Linked DNA regions of Tamandua tetradactyla. The protein of the gene in region 2 interacts with the protein of the main gene of each other region in a biochemical or structural test. Links are inferred from orthologs where the notes say so. Each region holds a gene or a part of one and is shown on either strand. Other genes may lie near its edges.

Region 1 (10,170 bases), on a different chromosome or scaffold from region 2:
CCTGAGCTATGAATCCATTTTCTTCTCTGGATCCCAGAGGTGTTAGCTGCCGACTGTCCAGACCTCCCATCTACTCCTTCCCTCCACAAGCCTGCTGCGTGCCAGGCACCACCCTGGGTATTAGAAAAAAGAAGGAAGAGACTCAAGGTTGGCAAGCAAGGTCGACACAGAGCCTAGGCTGACGAAGAGCAACAAGGAGGAAGTGCTAGACGGAGCATCCTTGGGGAGTACCTGTGAGCATGGTGGGGAGAAGAGAAGGAGAAAGAAGGAGGGAGGGCAGGGGCTTCTGCCTCTTAGAAGAAGGCCTGAGGAGCTCCCAGAAGCCTCTAAACTGATGCAGCTCAGACCACGACAAATGAATTGAGCTTTATGAGCTTGGTTTTTCTGGACTACCGGCTGGATTCTATCTGAGGGCAGGAATTACACCTCTCTCATTCACTGCTTTATCTCGGTGTATTGCCAAGTGGGGATGGGAGTAGAGCACTGCAGGTAAAAACAAGACCCAGCTAGGATTCGGACAAACCAATCAGTGATCTCTATGCCTACTGTGTTTTTGACACAAAGGTTAGGACAGTAGGAAGTTTCCTTTGTGGGGAGATGACATTTGTCCACAAACTATATATAAGACCAGTTCAAGATGGAGCTGAATTGTGTGGTCAAAACCAACAATTATTAACAGTGATTGTGAACATATATTGACTGCCGGGTATTAAGCCCAATGCTGTGTGGGAATTATCCTGTTCATTCCTCACATCCCCTCAGAGTCAAGCATCATGACCACGCCCATTTTGCAGATTAGGAAACTGAGGCTCATGTAGGTAAGGGGACCGGCCTGTTCAATGGGGTCCTCACACCGTGGGGTACTGGGATATCAACAGCCTCACTGACAAGCTGGAAGAAAGTGGGTCAAACCTCAAAGAAATCAAACTGCCGTACATCCTTCTCACTAACCTCCTGCTGCTCCTGGATGTAGACTGTACCGGAAAGGCCAAGGATTGGGATATGGAGCACCAACAATTTTAAAAGGCTTTTCTGCAGAGAAAGCAAAACACCAGCTCTGCAGTCTTCAGCCTGAAAGATGGAGGGCTTTAGCCAAGCTGAATCTGGATGTGTCTAGCAAGGACCACACAGCTGGAACTTATAGCCCTTCTGCTTCCTCAAACATACAGAGACCACCGGGACAGTCTTTTCCATGCAGCAGAAGAATCACCACCAAGAATGGGCTCAGCACTGACACAGGCATAGACATCTGGGATGTCCATCTGGGCCCTGGGTGGTCTAGGACACCAGGTGATGCTTACTCCAGGACCCTCCAACAACTACAGTTCTCAACAGGACTCCCTGGAATCACCATCTCCACAACAAAGGATGCAAATGCCTGGGTCCCAGCCCAGACCTACTGCATCTTCATATGTGACAAGTTCTCCAGGAGAGTATGACATTTGTGAGTGTTTCCTAAGCGGCCCTTCTCTTGACCACAGACCCAGAATCCCCTGGAACAAAGAGCAAGCATCTCTGTTCTCCATTAGAAGGAAGCCCATCTGCTGGCCTTAGAACCAACAGAGTCTTTCTCTATTTTCTTGTTGGGGGACTTTCAACTCAACAAATATCTTGGGACTTACTGGATGCTAACACATGGGAGGTACAATTGTTAACCGACCAGAAAGGGGCTGCCCCGAGGGAGCCTGACTTAGCAAAAGAGACAGACAGGAGGCAATGAACCCACTACCTCTCCACCCACCCATCCCTAATAAGGGCTTCTACAGAAGGAAAAGTATCCAAGCTAAGTCTCTCCCTGGGCAAAATTGTTTCATGTCTCTGAAGGCCTTTAAAAATAGTCCAGGACACACCACATGGGCCTGTTCCTAACTAAGACTTGTTGACTCAACTTCTCTCAAAGTTAACGGACTTGCCGAGAGAGGAGGGATGGATGAAATGTCCACCTCCTCCATTCCGGAATCTACCATTGTGGGCTTGCAGCCGAAATCCAAAAGCAACACACAAGAAAAGCCCTTCCTGACTTCTCTACATGTGCTCTGAGGTCTCTGATGAGACACGGCTGGGCAGCCAAATAGAACTGAGTTCAAATTCTGACACGACCTTGTGACTGGCTGTGGGATCTTGAGCACACCACTTCGCCTATCTGAGCCTTGTTTTCCTCATCTGTAAATGAGGATAGTAACAGTACCTGCCATCTGTAGGACTGTTGAGAAGAGTCATTGTCCTAACACATGCAAAGAGCTTGGCACACGACATTCTCAATGAGCAGGACACTGGCTTCTCCTGGCTCCTGGGGCCACTCCCCTGCTCCCCACCAGGATAAATACGCCCACTGCAGCCCATGCCCCAACACTCCTGCGTAGCCCACGGGGTCCTCTGCCTCTCCTGACATGGGGCCTATCTGCAGCCTGCCTGCTGATAGTTATGGGCCATATCCAGCCTGAGCCTAAAGATGGTCCCAGCACATGTCACAGATCAGCAGCCAGACCGGAAAGGATCACCCCCAAACTTGGGGGAAAGGGTGACAGCAATAAGAACAGAGCCTCTGGTTTTCGAAGCCTCACCCCTTTGCAGATCAGTTAGTGGTTGATGAGCTCCTAGCTGCAGAATTCAACTGGAGAAGGGCCAGTGCGTCTTCCTTAGCAGATAAGCACCCACTCAGGAAAGACCCCTTTGTTCCCAGCACATGGGATGAGGGACATGGAGATGAAACATGGGCTTGGATAAACCTGCAAACGTGCCCGGAAGACCAATGCGGGTGGGGGTAGGGGCTGGCAAGGGGGTCGGCGCGGGGGTGGGAAACAGATGTTGTGCAATGCACCACCAGAAGCTACCTCCCTTGCTTCCATCAACACCCTGGGCTGGCGGTCAATCCACTGCCTCCAGTACGGATGCTGGGGAGCTGGACCCACACAGCTGCTAGGTTATGGGCTCTGAATTCCAAGCTGAGTCCAGGAGCACTGACCCCTCCCAAATCAAATACCCACGCACAGGCCCTTGAACAACACAGCCATGTTCTCCTCAAGTGCCAGCCCCATAGAAAGACAATATGGTTAGGACCCAGTGCTATTAATCCCTGGCATGCCAGCGCATCTCCAAAGAATTGTAGGGAAGGGGGCAGCCAGAGAAATTGGAGATGCAGAGGAACTGGAGAGTTGTGAAGTTGGTGCAGGTGGACACACTGGGTCTGGTTTAGAAAAGTCTGAAATTTGACAGACTCTCCTCTTCCAGGTAGTGGTTAAATGATCGGATGACCAGATCACACACGGCTTCATAAACCCATTTTGTAATTGGGCAGGTAAAGATAGAAGAGGGGAGGTGAAATTTAGGCCAGAGATGAATTCAGACTGTAAATCCCCGCAGAAAAAAGGGTGCCCAGGACCCTTCCCCACCCCAGTCGCTGCCGCCCTGAGCTCTGACAAATCTCGCCACCCCACACACACGATCCGGGGCCAGGGAGGGGGCGACAGGCCAACCTCGCAGCAGCAGTAGCAGCAGCAGCAGCAGCATCGTGATGCATGAATCACCCATCCAGCCGGGCTCGTGCCAGTCGGCTCCGCGCAGCCGAAGCCACATTGCAACCAAGGGCCCCCTCCCCGGACCACCGTCCCTGCCCCACCCCAGCCCCTTCCCACAGGTCTGCAGAGAGGGGATCCGCGGGTGGGCCGGGGCTGTCCCACCGGTCCTGGTGGGGGGTGGGGGGTGCACTCTAGCACACTGACAGGCAACACGCGTCCAGAGTTGGGGGAGGGCGGGGGCTAGAACAATAGGGCCAGGTAGGGGGCTGGGGGCGCGGGCCCCGGAACCTCGGACGGGTCCCGCGTGGAGGCAGGGGATGGGACGACAGGAAGAGGGCTGCGGCGTTGAGAGGGGTGTAGAGCGGGAGGAGCGGTGAGGGTTTGGGGGTGATGGGGCGATGGGGGAGGGGCGCGAGGGAGAGCAGGAAGCGCGGGGGTGGCGGGTCGCTAGCGCATACACACTCACAGTAGGTTTTCCTGGTCAGCTCCTCCACAACTTCGGGCTTCAACTTGCTGTTGGATTTCCCCATCCTCGGCGGCCGCGGCCCCCGCCCCCCGGGCCGGACCCCGTCAGGGCGCCCAGTGGGAGCGGCTCGGCCGGCGCGGGCAGGGTCCGGCCGCGGGCGGGGCGCGCGGAGGGTTCGGCGGGCCGGCCGGGGGCCGCGCCTTTGTCTGCGCGGTGCCCGCGCGGCCCTGGCGCGGGGCTCCGGCGAGCTGCGATGCGCTGCTCACTGCTCCTCGGCCGCCCTGGGCTCAGCGCTGGGCCGGGGACGCGGGGCAGCTGCTCGGCAGGCCCGGGCGTGGGCGCCGGCCCTCCCGCCCTCTCCGGGCGCCGCGGCGCGGAGCTGCGCTGGGCTCGGCGCCGACCCGGCCGGCCGCTGTGTTGCCGCGGTCGTCCCTGGTTACTGGGCTCGGCGGCACATGCTCGCTACTGCGCTCCCTCGCGCCGCCGCCCCAGTGCTCCCCGCCTCCTGCCTCCCGCCCGCACCGGCGCGCCAGGAGATGGACGCGGAGCCGCCACTCAGCAGCCGGCGCCTCCTCCCGCCCCGCACCCGCTCCGCCAGGCCCTCTGCATGCAGAACGGGGGGGGGGGGGGCTCCGCAAGGATGGAGCCAGGGCCGGCAGAGGGGCACCCCCTTTCCCCCTTTCGTCATTACATCTGGGGGTGCGGGAAGAAGATCACACCCGCCACCCCTCTCCTCGGAGCGATCTTCCGCCCTTTAGCCCCCTCTGAGGGGGAGAGGGGCGGGGAAAGATCTGACAGGAATGAGGCCAAGTCCCTGCCCGGTGAAATCCATTCATTCCACACTATCCGTGGGGCTCTGGGACACCGCGGCAGACAATCCCGAAGGGGTCCTGGTCCTCACGGGGCTGGGGGCCTGAGGGCACGGCTACGCAAGCTGCGGCCTGCATGGTGAGGCACCTACCCGCGGCCTCGGAAAGGTGACCTCCATCTCGAGATGGTGACGGGAGTATGGTGGGGAAAATGTTCCTTCACCAAAAACCTTGAGAAGGGAGTGAGGACCGAATGCCCGAGGTTCAGGGCTCCAGAGAGAAGTGGGGTGGGCGTGTTGTGTGTGTGATATGATATGTGCCGCAGAAGGCAGGGCCTGGTAAGCCCCTCTCTCTTCGAGGAGGTGGGCCTCTGTCCAGGGGAGTGGATGAAAGGACTTACCAGGGGCCTGACAGGGTTGGATCTGGCCTCTGAGTTGGAGGTACGCTCAGAGGGCAGGAGCTGAAGGGAAGCGGGGGTGCAGGGGGTGATTGTCCAGGGTACCACCAGGATAGACAGAAGCAAGTGGGGCAGAGGATGGCAAGAGAGCCCCTCATGGCCTTCCCTGGCCACCCCATTTAAATGTCTACATGTTGAGACCTTTCCTATCCTCTTTCCCTGCTTTATTTTTTTCTCCCCTTAGCAACGATCACAAACTGAGGACATATTTTATTTACTCATTGTCTTTTTGCCTGTCTCCTCCACTAGAATCTGAGCTCCATGAGGCTCTAATGATTCTTGTCTTCTCTCTAGTTATATTTCCAGGGCCTAGAAGACCACCTGACATGCAGTAGGTGTCAAAACCCTTCTGAGCATGAATGAGGAACTGAGGAAGGAATGACAATGGTGCAGGAGGTACAGAGTATGTGGGAAGTAAGACCACTCTCAGGTCTGCAACAGCGAAGGATGAGGCAATGGGCAAGTGGCCCCTGCTGTTTGGAGACTCAGGAGAGCTAGGGAGACAGAGAAACCCTGACCAGGGTCGCCAATGCTTTCAGCCTTAAACACCCCTCCTACCTCCAAATGTGCTTCGCTCCAGCTTTTCCCCTGAAGGCCTGGCCTGGGCGGGGGCCTGGACTTCTAGACTGAGGAGGCCGGAGCCCCTGCTCCAAGAAGGCTTCCAATGGGGACAGACTTGCTGGCCTGTGCCAGCTCATTCTGAAGCGGTAGCTAGGCCCACAGTTGAGGGATCTGGTTTAGATTTGGGAGCAGGTGTCCCAACTGTGAGGACGAACTCAAACCCCTTAGTTGGCCAAGTCAGCATGAGCATGCTGCCTGGGAGGAGGGGGAGCTGGCTGGAGGCCAAGGGCTGCTGGGAAGACTGTGATATCAGGAGCAATTAAAGTTCTATAGCATTCCAGGTAGGTGTACATTCTGTATTTCTTGCCTGCTGCTCATGTGCCAGGTGTTGTGCTGGGCAGTGGGGCACTGCAGTGACCAACATGGTCTGTTTCGTCTGCGAGCTCATAGTCTAGGGGCAAATGGACCTGTTGGAGCCTTCACACACAAGCAATCATGTAATTACACTGGTGATAAATGTCACCAAGAGAACAGAGGGGGCACTGGGGGAACACACCCAGGAAAGCACCTGTCAGAGGGAGTCAGGGAGACTTAACAGATTCATTTGTTCATTCAGCAAATATTTACTAAACATCTACCGTGTGCCAAGCTGAGTCCAAGTTCTGGGGATCCCTATCATCAATTACAGACCTTGCAATTTAGTGAGGCAAGACAATATAAATAAACAAAATGCATGAGTAAAATATATAGTATACCAGAGGTGAAAAATTAAAATAAAGTAGGAAGAGGGTTGGGAAGTACAAGGACAGGAGGGTGTGAAACTTTAGATGGGACCGCCTCACTGGGCAGGCGCTATTTGCACAATGACCTGAAAGAGGTGGAGGGGAGCTGAGGGATATGCATTGCCCGGGCTGTGCATTGGCATCCAGCTGGCCATCTATGGTCTCAAAGAAAGGCATAAGTGAGGTTGGGGTTCAGAGGGCAAAGCAGAGAATTAGGAGATGAGATCAGACTCCAGGAATCTTTCTTGTGTTTAGCCAGATAACTCAGGCTATTGCATGAACAACTGACTCCAGGCAGGCCCAGGATAAGAAACAGGACCTGCTGGAGGCCATTACATCATCCAGAGAGGAAATGGTGGTGGACAGGACCAGGATGGCGGTAGTTAACACTGACAGAACTGGTAGATTTGGAAGATAGAGCCTAATAGACTGGATGGAGGGTGGGGGTGGGTAGGGGGCAGGTGAAGAGACACTGGAGTCCAGGACAATGCCAAGGTTTTTGTCCTGAACAACTAGGAATTTCCATTTGCTAAAATGGGGAGTGGACAGTTTTGGAGACAGAAAGAGGAGAGGTCTTGTTCTGGACATATGAAGTATGAAATGCTTGTTAGATACCCAAGTGGAAATATTGAAGAAATAGGTGATACGGGAGTCTGGAGGAGGGAGCTGAATAGAAGCTGGCCAGGCAAGGGTGGCCAAAATCTTCCAGGCCATGAGGACAGCATGTGGGAAGGTACTGAGTCTTGGGACCTGGCTTTTGACCCAAAGCCTCCCTGCCCGTTTGGGCTGAAAATGCCTCTGCCTGAGCTGCCTTCAACAAAGGGCTCAGATCAACTCTGATGCCCTGGTCACTGTCCTAAGAGTAGTGGTTTCAGTTCTGTCTGCCACACAGGAGTTTGTTTTTTCAGCAAAGAAATGTGCACAGCCAGTCTTCAACCAAGGGTGACACGACCAGATTTGCACATTGAGAAGATTGCTCTGGCTGCGGTGTGGATCGGAGGGCACAGGGTGAAGACAGAGAACCCAGTTGGGGGCTGTTCTCAAACATGTGGGAGGCTTGGGCAGGAGCGGCCTTTGTCGAGATGGAGAAGTGGAGGAGTCAGGGAACTTGAGTGGCAATTGACTAGATGGTGAGGGCAGGTGGGGGGGTGAGAAAGGAAAAGCTGAGTGCAACTGCATGGCATGGGGGCTTCAAGGATGGCTCTCTGGGGAGGAGGAGTCAAGGGCAGCTTCCTGCTGAGGTTGGGGACCTGGTGGGAAGGGTCTAGGATGGCTCATTGGGGGTGGCAAGGATGGATCCCTGGTGGCTGTTACTATCACCTGGGGAAGGGATGCATTCTTGGGATAGGGTCCCCTGAGTTGGGCTTGAATGTCATAAACTCAAATGTTGGGTCTGAGATGTCTGTGAGATACACAAATAAGGATGTTGGATTTTATGTTTAAAAAACAAAGCAGGTTATAAATCAGTGTAAATAGGCTAATCAAATTAAATATATAGACGTGTTGAAAACAGTCTGAAGGATATATCTCGAGGTGTTATCAGTTATTTCCAGTAAATTAAGATTACAGGTAATTTTTATTTTCTTCTCTTCTCCGTATTTTATATACATTGCTTTCTGGGAGGAGGGGGAGCTTTGCTTTTAAATAAGAAGAATAATTTATCAGATCATTTTGCACATCTGTGATAGCCAAGGAAGCGCCTACCTGAGTCGCCCAGCTGTGACCCCTCAGAGAGCTTGATGATGACCCAGATTGCCAGGCTCCACCCTAGACAGAGTGAACCTGAATGAGGTGGGGGTATGCCTGGGAATCTGCTTTTAACCCAGCCTCTAGCTCTCCTCCTTGCCTTTCAGTAAAGGTCTCTTCTCCTAGTGTATAAACTCATCTGGGAGAGTGGCCCCATAAACTTATTCAGTAGTCCTTCCATAGGGGAACAAATTGTACACATGTGGTGGGTGGAGCCCTGAATTAAATCTTCCTTTAGGTCGCAGCATTCTGGGCCTCACCGACCACCCCTGCCAGAACAACAGCTCCAGCCTGGATCTCTCTTCCCCTATCTTAGTCTCGTATCCAGTGATTCAGGGGTGTCTACATTTTGGGGGCCCCATAAACACTTCAAACTCATCAGGCCTGGAACATAACTCATCACTTCCCATAAAGAACCCTTCTCTGCCTGGGCAAATGGCCCCTTCTATATCCAGTGGGTCCAGCCAGAAATATGAAACATCCTTAGCCCCACCCTCTTCCAAGGGATAGCACACCCCCCCACACATCCATTCAACCATACCTAGTTCATTGGAATTCATTCCCTAAATAGCCCTCAAGGCTGAACGCTTTTGTCCTTCCCCACCAGAACCATTCTAATCCAGCCACTATTACCTCTCAAAGCCCAACTACCACGCAGCCACCTCAGAAGTCTCCCCATAGCCTTGCTTGGCCCCTCTCAAATCCTGTGTTCTTAACACAGCCAGAATGAGCTTTTCCCAGCACAAACCTAACCCCTTTTTTCCCCATTTAAGCTTCTCATTGCCATCTGGAGAAAGCCTTGGCTCTTTGTAGGGCTTACAAGCCCCCAGCTGACCTGACAGAAACCACCTTCTCTCCTGCCTCACCTCTTGATTTCTCTGAAGCCAAACTCTCAGCCTCCAGGCCTTTGCAGAGGCTGTTTCTCTCTGCCTGACCTGCTCTCCCTGCTTCCCCTGTCCTAGCTAACACATCGCCTCTTCCAAGGAGCCTTTATTGGACGCCCCACCACCACCAGGTGAGTTCAAGCTCCCCTCTTATATACCTGCCTGTAGCACTTTTCTGTTTCCCAGGTCTGGGTAGGAACAGGGATGCAAATGGAGGATGCCCAGGATCCTCCTGCTAGGAGTGGGGGTGGGGGTGCTGCAACTTGGCCCCAGAAGGAGTGGGAGGAGGAAGAGGGGTCCCACTGAAACCCCAGCGTGGAGCACAGTGTCCTAAGGCTGGGGTTCCGTGCAATGGGTTCTCCATGTGGCTCTTGGCTGATCACTTTCCCATTTTATAAACTAATCTGGGGGGAAGGGTTTATAAAGATAAAAAACTCTTGTACAAGCACATGACAAAGAGTTATATATCTTTAATCTTTTAAGAGCTTTCTAAACCAATAAGAAAAATATGAGTGCCTCAATAGAAAGTCGGGGAAAGGAACTTGTGTTAGTCTGTAAGCTGCTGGAATGCAATATACCAGAAATGGAATAGCTTTTTAAAAGAGAAACTTATTAAGTTGCAAGTTTACAGTTCTAAAGCCATGAAAGTGTCCAAATTAAGGCATTGAGGGAAAGATAACTTATCTCCAAAGAAAGGGCCGATGAAGTTCCAGGTTTCTCTCTCAGCTAGAAGGGCACATGGTGATGTCTGCTAGCTTTTTTTCCTTCATTTCATAAGACTTCCCTGGGGGTATTTTCCTTTTGCTCCAAAGGTCTCTGGCTGCATGGGATATTGGGTTCTGGTGACTCTAAAGCTTTTTCCAAAATGGTTCCCTTTTAAAGGGCTCCAGTAAGCAACCCCACCTTGAATTCATGGAGACTCATCTCCATGGAAACCATCTAATCAA
Region 2 (9,223 bases):
AAGTGTGTCGATTTAACCCATTTATCAGATCGAGGTGAAAGGGATAAGAAAAGGGAAAATGTGCAGGTCACAAGGGCAAGGTTCTCTCCTTTTTCCGGACCCAAACAGAAGCAAACCAAATGGCTGAATCTTGTATCTTTACTCCTCCGCCCACATGCACTGACACTATAATCAAGCTATTTTCCAAGCCCATGAATTTAGATAATATGAGTCTATTGCTAAAAAAAATAAGAAAGAAATCTTCAATTGTATGGTGATGGGAGAAGGTGAGAGGCAGGGGTGTATTAACATTGGCTTCTAACACTGTTAGAGTAATTAAGGAGGCTGGAGATAATTAATATCAGTCTGCCACCCAGAATTGGTAAATAAGCAACTTGCACACCCTTGGTGGCTCCATTTAGTATCCTGGAGAGCTGAGTGCTTACACATAATCTCAAAGCCCTACTGAGTGGCAGGGACAAATGGTGCTGGGGTTCAGCAATATGACGGGCTATGTACAGGGGAGGGTGCCTGCTGAGAAGCTGAACCAAGCTGAACCCTTCTTGCTGCCTGTGGTTTCCAAGCACTTCCTACATGCAGGATGCTCTTCTTCTATGCAGAGTCCCCGCAGGATAGAGAAGCTTTGTTCACTTAATCCAATCCTGGTGTCCTGGAACTAGAAAGCTCATTTCACTCCTTTTGGGGAGTAATAACAAGAAAGAGACCACCATATTTCTAGACTAAGGGTACAGCTGCCCTGTTTGGTGTCCCAGGCATCCAGGATGACCTCTGAGGGGCCAAGTAATCCAAGCACCTAAAGTCCTATAAATTGTATCTCAGGGAAATGTGACTGCCTGGGCAGTCATATCCATTTACTTAAGACTCAGCTCTTAGGTCACTGTAACCTACTGATACACAACTTGAGTCTGGGACATATCACAAATATGGCTTGGGTCCTGGCATCATAAAACCTCAAGTCTGATTCTCTTCTCCCTTCCTAGCTGCTGAAACACCTTCACTGCAGGAGATTCATAAGGTAGGGAGAAAAGGGAAGTGAGAGGTCACAAAATGTGAATTACTGGAAGGGGCAAGGCTGACCCAAGGAGTTCTTATCATAAGGCCCAGCTCCCCACCCCTACCACACTCTCTCTGGGCTATCTTCACAGCCATGCTTCTTCCTCAGCACCAAAATGCAACTTTCACTTACAAATGAGATGGAGTCGGCTCTCTCCAGGACAGAGCCCACCTGCCTTTCCCCGGTTTATTCAGAGAACGATGACCTCAGACCAGCCTGGCTTCAACAGTCAATCTCAGGAGTATGTAGCATGGATTTCTGATGAGATCATGAGCTTCCCTTTATTTCCCATGTTACAGGAGGAGGAACAGAAGGGTTTCTTGCAAGATTGGGTTCTCTTTCATCATTCTCAAAATTATAATTGCATGTTATAGACAGAAACAACCCACCCTTGAAGGCAGGGGTAGAAGACCGATTAGCCATAAGTAAGCATCATTCCTGGCCTATTCATCCATTGCAAGCTTTCTAGCTTATGGAGCACCAGAGCCAAATCAAAACAATCAATATGTCACTGCCAGCAGGGCACAAGTGGCTTCCAGCCTTGGGGAACATGACGTGCTACCAGGTTGAACTAATCACTCCTTGGTATTTCAGGAGTGGCTGGGTTAACAAACCACAGCATATACACAACGAAAGACAGTAATTTCCCCAGAAGGGGTAGGGTACAAAGAATGTACTGAGTCCCCCCAGAATAAGGGGGGAGTTAGTATTTACTCAAATCAACCTGAAGCCATGTTGGTGATTTTTAGAAAGGTAAAAAACAAAGCAAACTATATATATATACACACACACATATGTTTTTGAAAGATGAAAAGCCCAAGAGGATCTTGAAGGAACAGAAGAGATTTAGTTGCATCCTTCATAGCAGTACAGGGATTGAATTAAGGGACTGGTCTCTCCACCAACAATCCTATGGCTGAAGAATTTAACATATATAAATTCAGGAGGCAAGGGGTCAATTAAATACCCTAATCATGCTACCTCTAATCTGAAGTTCTGAATTTTAAAAAGAATAGATCCCTTAACCCACTGTGCATATGAATCGCCCAGAAATCTTGTTAAAATATAAATCCCTGGAACTCAGTTTGAGATCCTCATCTAGTAGAGCCATGGAAAAAACAAAAGTATGCATTGTTAACAAGCTTCCTGGATGATTTAGATGCATAGAGTTCACGGGAGAAAAAAAAAACATTTGGAGAAATGTTTTCTTAAACCTCTAGAACAAATCAGAATCCCCCTTTTCCAGACACCTTTCACCCCCAGGCTGTGCAGGGAAGGCAGAAGGAACTGAGAATCTTCTTCAAGAGAACAAGGCCTGAGATGCCATGGCCCCAAATGGCTCTGGATCCAATTGCTCCCCAAACCTTTCTCCAGTCACAAGGTTGAGTTCAGAGAAAGCACCAACCCCCCCGCAGTCAAATGTGCCAAGAATGTTGAACACCAAACAGAGAAGTCAAAGGCAGGAGACTGGGACCCAGCAAACAATCTAAGTGAATTCTCTTGAAATTGGTCACATTCACCACCGCCCGTCTCTCTGCCCACCCTCATCAAACAGCAGTAACAGGGGAAAAGATGAGGATTATCATTTCTTTTTCCAGTTATACTAATGCTGCAGGATGATTCAGGGCTAAGCACAAGTATTTGCATCCAAAGAGGGTTGAATCATTGAACATCTAGTTCCTTGGGAAGGAGCAAAGATTAGCCTGGAAGGTCTGTAGCCTGGTCTAAATCCGGATATGGTGAGACCTGGAGAAGGCTGGGAGGGTGGGGAAAGAGGTCCACAGGAGAGCTTTTCATCTCACCCAATCTCAGGAGCCCCCAGCACAGAAAGTAGTGGAGTATCAGGTGGGGCAGGAGTGACTCGCTCAGAGAGAGTTCCTGTGGTTAGAAAGCAAGGCCCTGTCCCTCCGGGGCTGCAGCCCGATGACTCGTGCCCATGGCGAAGCCTGTTTGTAGACGCGCGCGCACCGTCTTACCTCTGATTTTCCAAAGGAACCGCTCCCAAGCTGCCCGCCGCAGACAGCGATGGGGGACGCGCTCTGTGTGGCGCTTAGAGCTGCCGCTTGTCTCCGCACACCACCCTTTCGGGCTCTTGGTCCATTCCAGAGCCGAACGGTCACCCTCCGCTACTGCCCCCACCACCTTCACTCCCACTCCCAGGCCGAGCTGGGTCTGAAACCCCAGACTCCTTCCCCGACTAGATCTCAGACAGAGAAGAGGAAGGAGAACGAAGAATCAGAACCCAAGGACAGCGGACAGGCTAGGGAGTGGGAAGGCGACGTCAAAACTGGCTTCTCCCCCATCTCTGGCTTCTGCCCTTAGGAGAAATCTCAAGTCGCTAGAACGAGGAGCTGCCGAGAACAACCCTTTTCCCTCCTGAGCAATCGGAAACTCTGGCCGCTGGCCCTGGGGTGCCGGACTCGGGAGCTGGCAGTAAAGTGCCAGCGGGAGATGCTCGGTTACTGCGGCTCGGGGAGCTCGCTCTCCGCGAGCCCGCCTGTCCCCCGGGTGAGATTCCCCGTCCAAGCGGGGCTGAAAACTACCGAGAGCCAGTGAGAGGGGCTCCGGACCCTGCGGGCAGCCACCGGGCTCCGGAACTCCCCGGGGAAAGCCGCCCGACGGAAAGTCCGTGGAGAGCGCGACCGCATGCGGGGCGCCACGGGCAGACGACAGGAGAGTAGTGGACAAAGTTCTGGTCCCGGCCGTGCCGCCCTCGGAGCGCTCTTCTCTCTCTGCCCACCCGCCTCGACCGCTGCGCCTCTCCTGCCGCCGGCGCTTACCTTCAAGCCATAAGGCGCCCGGGGGCAGAGGCGGCGCCGGCTGCTCGAGGCTTCCGGCTCCCGCCGCATCCACACGCGGCCGCCCCTCGGCAGCCGTCCGGGGCCGCCGCTCTCGGACCCCCTGGTCGCGCCGCGCCGTTTAGAGCCCGGGCGGGCAGCCGCTCGGCTGGCTCCCGCCCGCGGGGAGCAGTGGACGGCCGCGGCGGGACGAGGCGGGGCGGGGCGGGGCGGGGCTGGGCGGCGGGCGGCGCGGAGGCGGCGCGGGGCGCACGGGAGGCGACAGCTCCAGCACTGTGGTCCGACAGCTCCGCCGCGCCCGGAGCGCGGGGAGCGCTGGGGAGAGGCGGGGCCGCGCTGGCCACGAGGCGCTCCGGGCCCCGCCCCTGGGACCAGGCCCCGCCCCACTCGCGCGGGTTTGTCGGCCAGCTGCGTGCACCTGGACCTGGAGGAAGTGGCTAGCGGCTTCGTAGTTCCCAGTTTGAGCAGGTCAGGTGGCCCAGAGGTGCCGTTCGGAACCGAGCCCTCTATGGCCTACTCGTCGAGCATCCTCACTCTCCTGAACTCGTCTGTTTCCTCCTTTGAGGAGTCGGAGCATAGGGTGCGGGGAGGCGCTGGGATGGAAGAGTAGTAGGAGAGGTCCAGGGTCCGTTTTCCGACTTTTGTCCTTGGAATCCCTGTGGTCACTTCTGTTGCTTTACTCTTTCAGAGGAAAAGCCTGCTTGGAGTTGACCTAAGGTGGTAATTCAAAATTCAGAGAGCCTCCGGGACTCCAGTTCATATTTGACTCCAGGGGACGCTGACCTACTGCTGTGCTCTGTCCAGGGTAATTTGGGCTGCTCCTCTTCCCTTTTTTCCCTTTTCTTTCTTCTTCAGCAGTTAGTTGACTATCTCTTCTTTGTTGGGCTCACAGAGAGGAAGAAAACCAGGCCCCTGTCCTGATGCCCTGCTAATCCAGAGTGGAGACCCACGGGGAAATGCCTGGAGCAGATCTCAGCACAAAGGAGGGAGGCTTTTCACAGGGGCAGGGCACTGACAGCATTCCAGGTAGGGGGGCCAGCACCCCGAAAACCTGACCAGTTCGCAGAGTGGCCAAACTGTCACCCAGAGCCACAAGATAAAATTTGTCTCAGTATTTCCTCCAGTGACCCGCATAATTATGGAAATGGCTTCAGAGGGGGAACTTGGGCCCAGAGAGATGGCATGACCTTCCAAATCCCACAGAGATCCAGTGGTGGGCCAGGCCCCATCTCCTGAGGTGCAAACCAGCACTTCTCACACTTAGCTCTCCTGAGGCCCTGAGGGAGAGGCTGTAAGTAGGCATGAGCCTCGCCCCCTCCCCAAGCGTTTGGCTCTATCCTGCGGATCCTGGCCTGTACCTCACAAGCTTGATGGAGATGATCTGGAATCTAAACATTTTGCCATATTTGCTTTGTTCTTGTTTGTTTGCATTGGAGCGGGTTTTTTTTTTGTTTTTTTTTTTCGGTGCTGTTGTTTCCATATTTGCTTTTAGAGTAATAGACATTAGAGATACGGTTGAATATAGGGTTCCCCTCCTATACCCTTGGATCTTCATTCTAAGATTTAATCCACTTAAGGAGGGACTTGGTGCCTCCCGATTCAGTGCCTCTACATCAGCCTAGAGACAAGGTGGACTTCCTACTGGACCAGATCAGAGGACGTAGGCTGGTATCCTGCCTCAGCACCTACTAGTTGTGTCATCTTGGCTGCATTATTTAAGCTCTCTGACTCTCAGTTTCCCTGTCTTTATTTCCAGGCTACTAACATCTATTTTTTTCAGCTACACTGAAGACAACAGAAGTGGAAGCGTTAGACAAACTGAGTATGTGTGACCCCTGGCTGACCCCAGTTGCTCTGAGCAAAGGAGGGTAGCCTGGCTCAGTCAGGAGGCCCAAGGACACGGTGGCTTTACACTGCCTTTTTTACCCCAGTCTTGCACAGCTGAGTGGATTTCATGCCGCTGCGAGTGAGACGGATGGATCTTTTCATTTTCAATTAGCAAATGCCTCGCTGTTCAAACAGGCGGCACTGCAAACAGATGCATGGGGTGATGGGTGACAGGAGCAGCTGCGGCCAGGCACGCGGCTGCACTGCAGGCTCCCACCTCCCCGGCTGCCAGGAACCTGTGGGGGGCATCGAGAGCCTCCCATTGCCCCCAGGCAGAACAACCCAGCCCACGTGGGTGGGAGTAGGGTGTCCCTTATAGCTTTCCAGAAAGGGGGCCTCGGCCTCATCTGTATATTCCAGAGCCCCAGAGTCAAGTTCTTCCTGATAAGCCAACTCAGACCTTTATTGCTACCCTTTTCATTGTTGAAGATGGAGTAGGGGTTAAGGATGGGTTTTGAAGTCGGTAGGGGTTTTGTTAACCCATTGTAATAAGGAAAGAAAGAACTGAGCAAACAGACAGTAAGGGAGAAATATAATCCCCTCTTCTACTCTAAGGACTGCCCTCCGAGATGGAAAATGAGGGATGGCTGGGGCATAGAAAGGAGGATGCACCCACAGAGAGACACAGGCTGCCACATATTATTCCACAGCAACAGGCACTTATCTGAGGAGTCAGGAGGCAGAAGAGGGTGAGGTAAGCAGCACTTCTGGAGATGCACCAGACTGTGGTCAAGTCCCCACTCTGTATCTTTGGGAAAGTTCTGAATGTTTTTGAGCCTCAGTTTCCTCAACTGCAAAATGGGGATAAAGAGCCATATTGCAATATAATCAGGGGGATTAAAGGAAAATAACAACTTTTTGAACTAGGGTGTTCTTATCCCATTTGCAAATGACTCTGGGGACACTAGGGGGGTTTGCTGGTCTGGAAGGAAGTATGCCCCCTAGAAAAGCCATGTTTTAATCAAAATCCCATTTCATAAAGGTAGAATAATCCCTACTCAATACTGTATGTTTGAAACTAATCAGATCATCTCCCTGGATGGTGTGGTTTAGTCAGGAGTGGTTGTTAAGCTGAATTAGGTGATGACATGTCTCCACCCATTTGGGTAGATCTTGCTTGGTTTATTGGAGTCCTATAAAAGAGGAAACATTTTGGAGAATAGGAGATTCAGAGAGAGCAGAACGACATAGCCATGAGAAGCAGAGTCAACAAGCCAGTGACCTTTGGAGATGAAGAACGAAATGCTTCATGAAACAGGAAGCCAGGAGAAGAAGCTGGCAGACGATGCCATGTTCACCATGTACCCTTCCAGATGAGAGAGAAACCCTGACTGTGTTCACCATGTGCCCTTCCACTTCAGAAAGAAACCCTGAACTTCATCGACCTTCTTGAACCAAGGTATCTTTCCCTGGATGCCTTAGGTTGGACATTTCTATAGACTTGCTTTAATTGGGACATTTTCTTGGCCTTAGAACTGTAAACTAGCAACTCATTAAATTCCCCCATTTAAAAGCCATTCCATTTCTGGTAAATTGCATTCTGGTAGCTAGCAAACTAGAACAGGGGGTCATCCACCTGGGTCAGAGGAGGTGTGGAAAAAAAAGAAAATGAACTCTGCCCTTTATACCTTTATTATTTCCCTCAAAGCACAGAACATCTTACAGAAGGGCAGAAACCTTGCTTACTGCTTTCAAGATACTCCATTTAAGGAACTGAAGATATACTAGGCTTATAGTCCTGAGGGAGAGATGGGGAGGGAGAGGATTTTTCCCAAAGCATGGGCATAAGGACACTTTGTCTGACCAAGCCAGGAGTGCAGTGAGAGTTACTTGAGAGTTTTGACATTTGCATGTGTAATTCACTCTTTTTCTTAATGTACTTTTTTTTTAATTGAGAATCTTCACACACATACATTCTATACATGGTGTATAATCGATGGCTCACAATATCATCACATCGGTGATGTGATTACCATGATCATTTTTTAGAACATTTGCATCACTCCAGAAAAAGGGATTAAAAAAAAAAAAGGAAAGCTCATACATACCATACACCTTACCCCTCCCTTTCATTGACCACTAGTGTTTCCATCTACCCAGTTTGTAATTCACTCTTAAAGAATTATTTCCTCACTGGTAGAATGCATTGGTCTTGCACATCACTGTGAAGTGGACATTTATATTGTTGCTTGCATCCTCCTCTTCTGGAACAACAGAGAATACAGGTGTGACCCACTTTAAGAAATTCTATTATATAATTCTCCAGTTACAAAACAGATCAATTAGAGTGCAGTTATCCATACAGCAAATTTATTTAATTCTTTGATGGGAAGAGGTCATAAAATTATACACCTTGCAAATCGGTGGCCACTGCAGTCACCAATATATACAATAAAATAAAATAAAATATCTAAGAACTACCATTTGTATAGGTGTGAAAGTGGTTTGACTTTAGGAAACAATTTATACACACCATCTTCAGTTGTATTGAAGTCTAATCAGTACTGTCTTGGATTTCGTCAGCTTCTGCTATAGATAATAAAGCACTTTCTCACCTGTTATCTCATTTAGCTTCTGAGAGCCTTGTGATGTCAGTAACGTCATTAGTTTGGGAGAGCACTGGAAAGATTACCAAGGGGCTTCCCCTTCCAGAGGATGGGAACAGGCAATGAAACCAGGATGATAGTTTTCATGTCATCTGCAAATGCAAGGACCATTCAGCCACTGGGGTGTAGGATGGAACTGAGCTGTCCAGCTCTCAGTTGTGAAGTTCTTTCAAACTTTCTTCATTTGAGCATGAGAAAATAAGGAGAAGAGATGCTTTTAGTCTATACACTAAACAGCAGAATTTGGAACTCTCTGCCTGACAACCTGCTCCTCTGCGTGTGTGTCCTGCCTCTGAGGACTTGAGGACTATACCTCGCAGCTGCTCATGCCACAGCTTGCTCCAACAGTCTCTGTATCCATCAGGAAACACAGATGTAAGAGACAGAAACAGCTCTGGGCAGTTTAAGCAGAAAAGCAATTCATTGAAACTATTGTAATAGCTCCCAAAATCAAGGGGATGATTAAAGAACCAGGCTGGTAAAACAGGAACGAAAGGGCTAGACACTTAATCTTCAACCAAAATCCAGCCCGAGCAGCAGTCCCCCGGAAACTGAACTATGGGAGCTCATTTAATACAGGGCACCGGATAGTCCCTTCCCCACTTCCAGCATCAGACACTCTGCTATGCTGCTCCTGGAAATTTGCTGCTATTTGTGCTGCCCACCTCTGCTGTTCCTGCTTTTCTGAGTCACTAGCTCTTGAGTCAAAATCTGGAGCAGCTGCCTTTGGTTGGTTGAGGCTGTTCACGAGCCTCACCCTTCAGTGGGAAAAAGGGCTCTGTCTCCCACCAAGAATGACACAGTAAAGAGTGCTCCAGAGAAGCAGGGGACAAGGGCTGTGGAGTCAAACAACTAGACATGTCCACTGTATCCCAGAT

Evidence for each region. The genes of interacting proteins can lie anywhere in the genome.
Region 1: the proteins of DRD2 (region 2) and NCS1 form a complex in vitro, tested with the Homo sapiens proteins (2 studies listed by BioGRID, with this or other methods). The link is inferred for Tamandua tetradactyla from reciprocal best matches to the Homo sapiens genes DRD2 and NCS1.

Annotation. Positions count from the first base shown.
Region 1 is NC_135328.1:53,088,702-53,098,871, reverse strand, and holds the start of NCS1 (neuronal calcium sensor 1), read right to left. Parts: upstream 4,110-10,170; 5' UTR 4,049-4,109; coding exon 3,985-4,048; intron 1-3,984. UniProt on the Homo sapiens protein: Neuronal calcium sensor, regulator of G protein-coupled receptor phosphorylation in a calcium dependent manner. Directly regulates GRK1 (RHOK), but not GRK2 to GRK5. Can substitute for calmodulin. Stimulates PI4KB kinase activity.
Region 2 is NC_135334.1:27,595,904-27,605,126, reverse strand, and holds the start of DRD2 (D(2) dopamine receptor), read right to left. Parts: upstream 3,921-9,223; 5' UTR 3,835-3,920; intron 1-3,834. UniProt on the Homo sapiens protein: Dopamine receptor whose activity is mediated by G proteins which inhibit adenylyl cyclase. Positively regulates postnatal regression of retinal hyaloid vessels via suppression of VEGFR2/KDR activity, downstream of OPN5.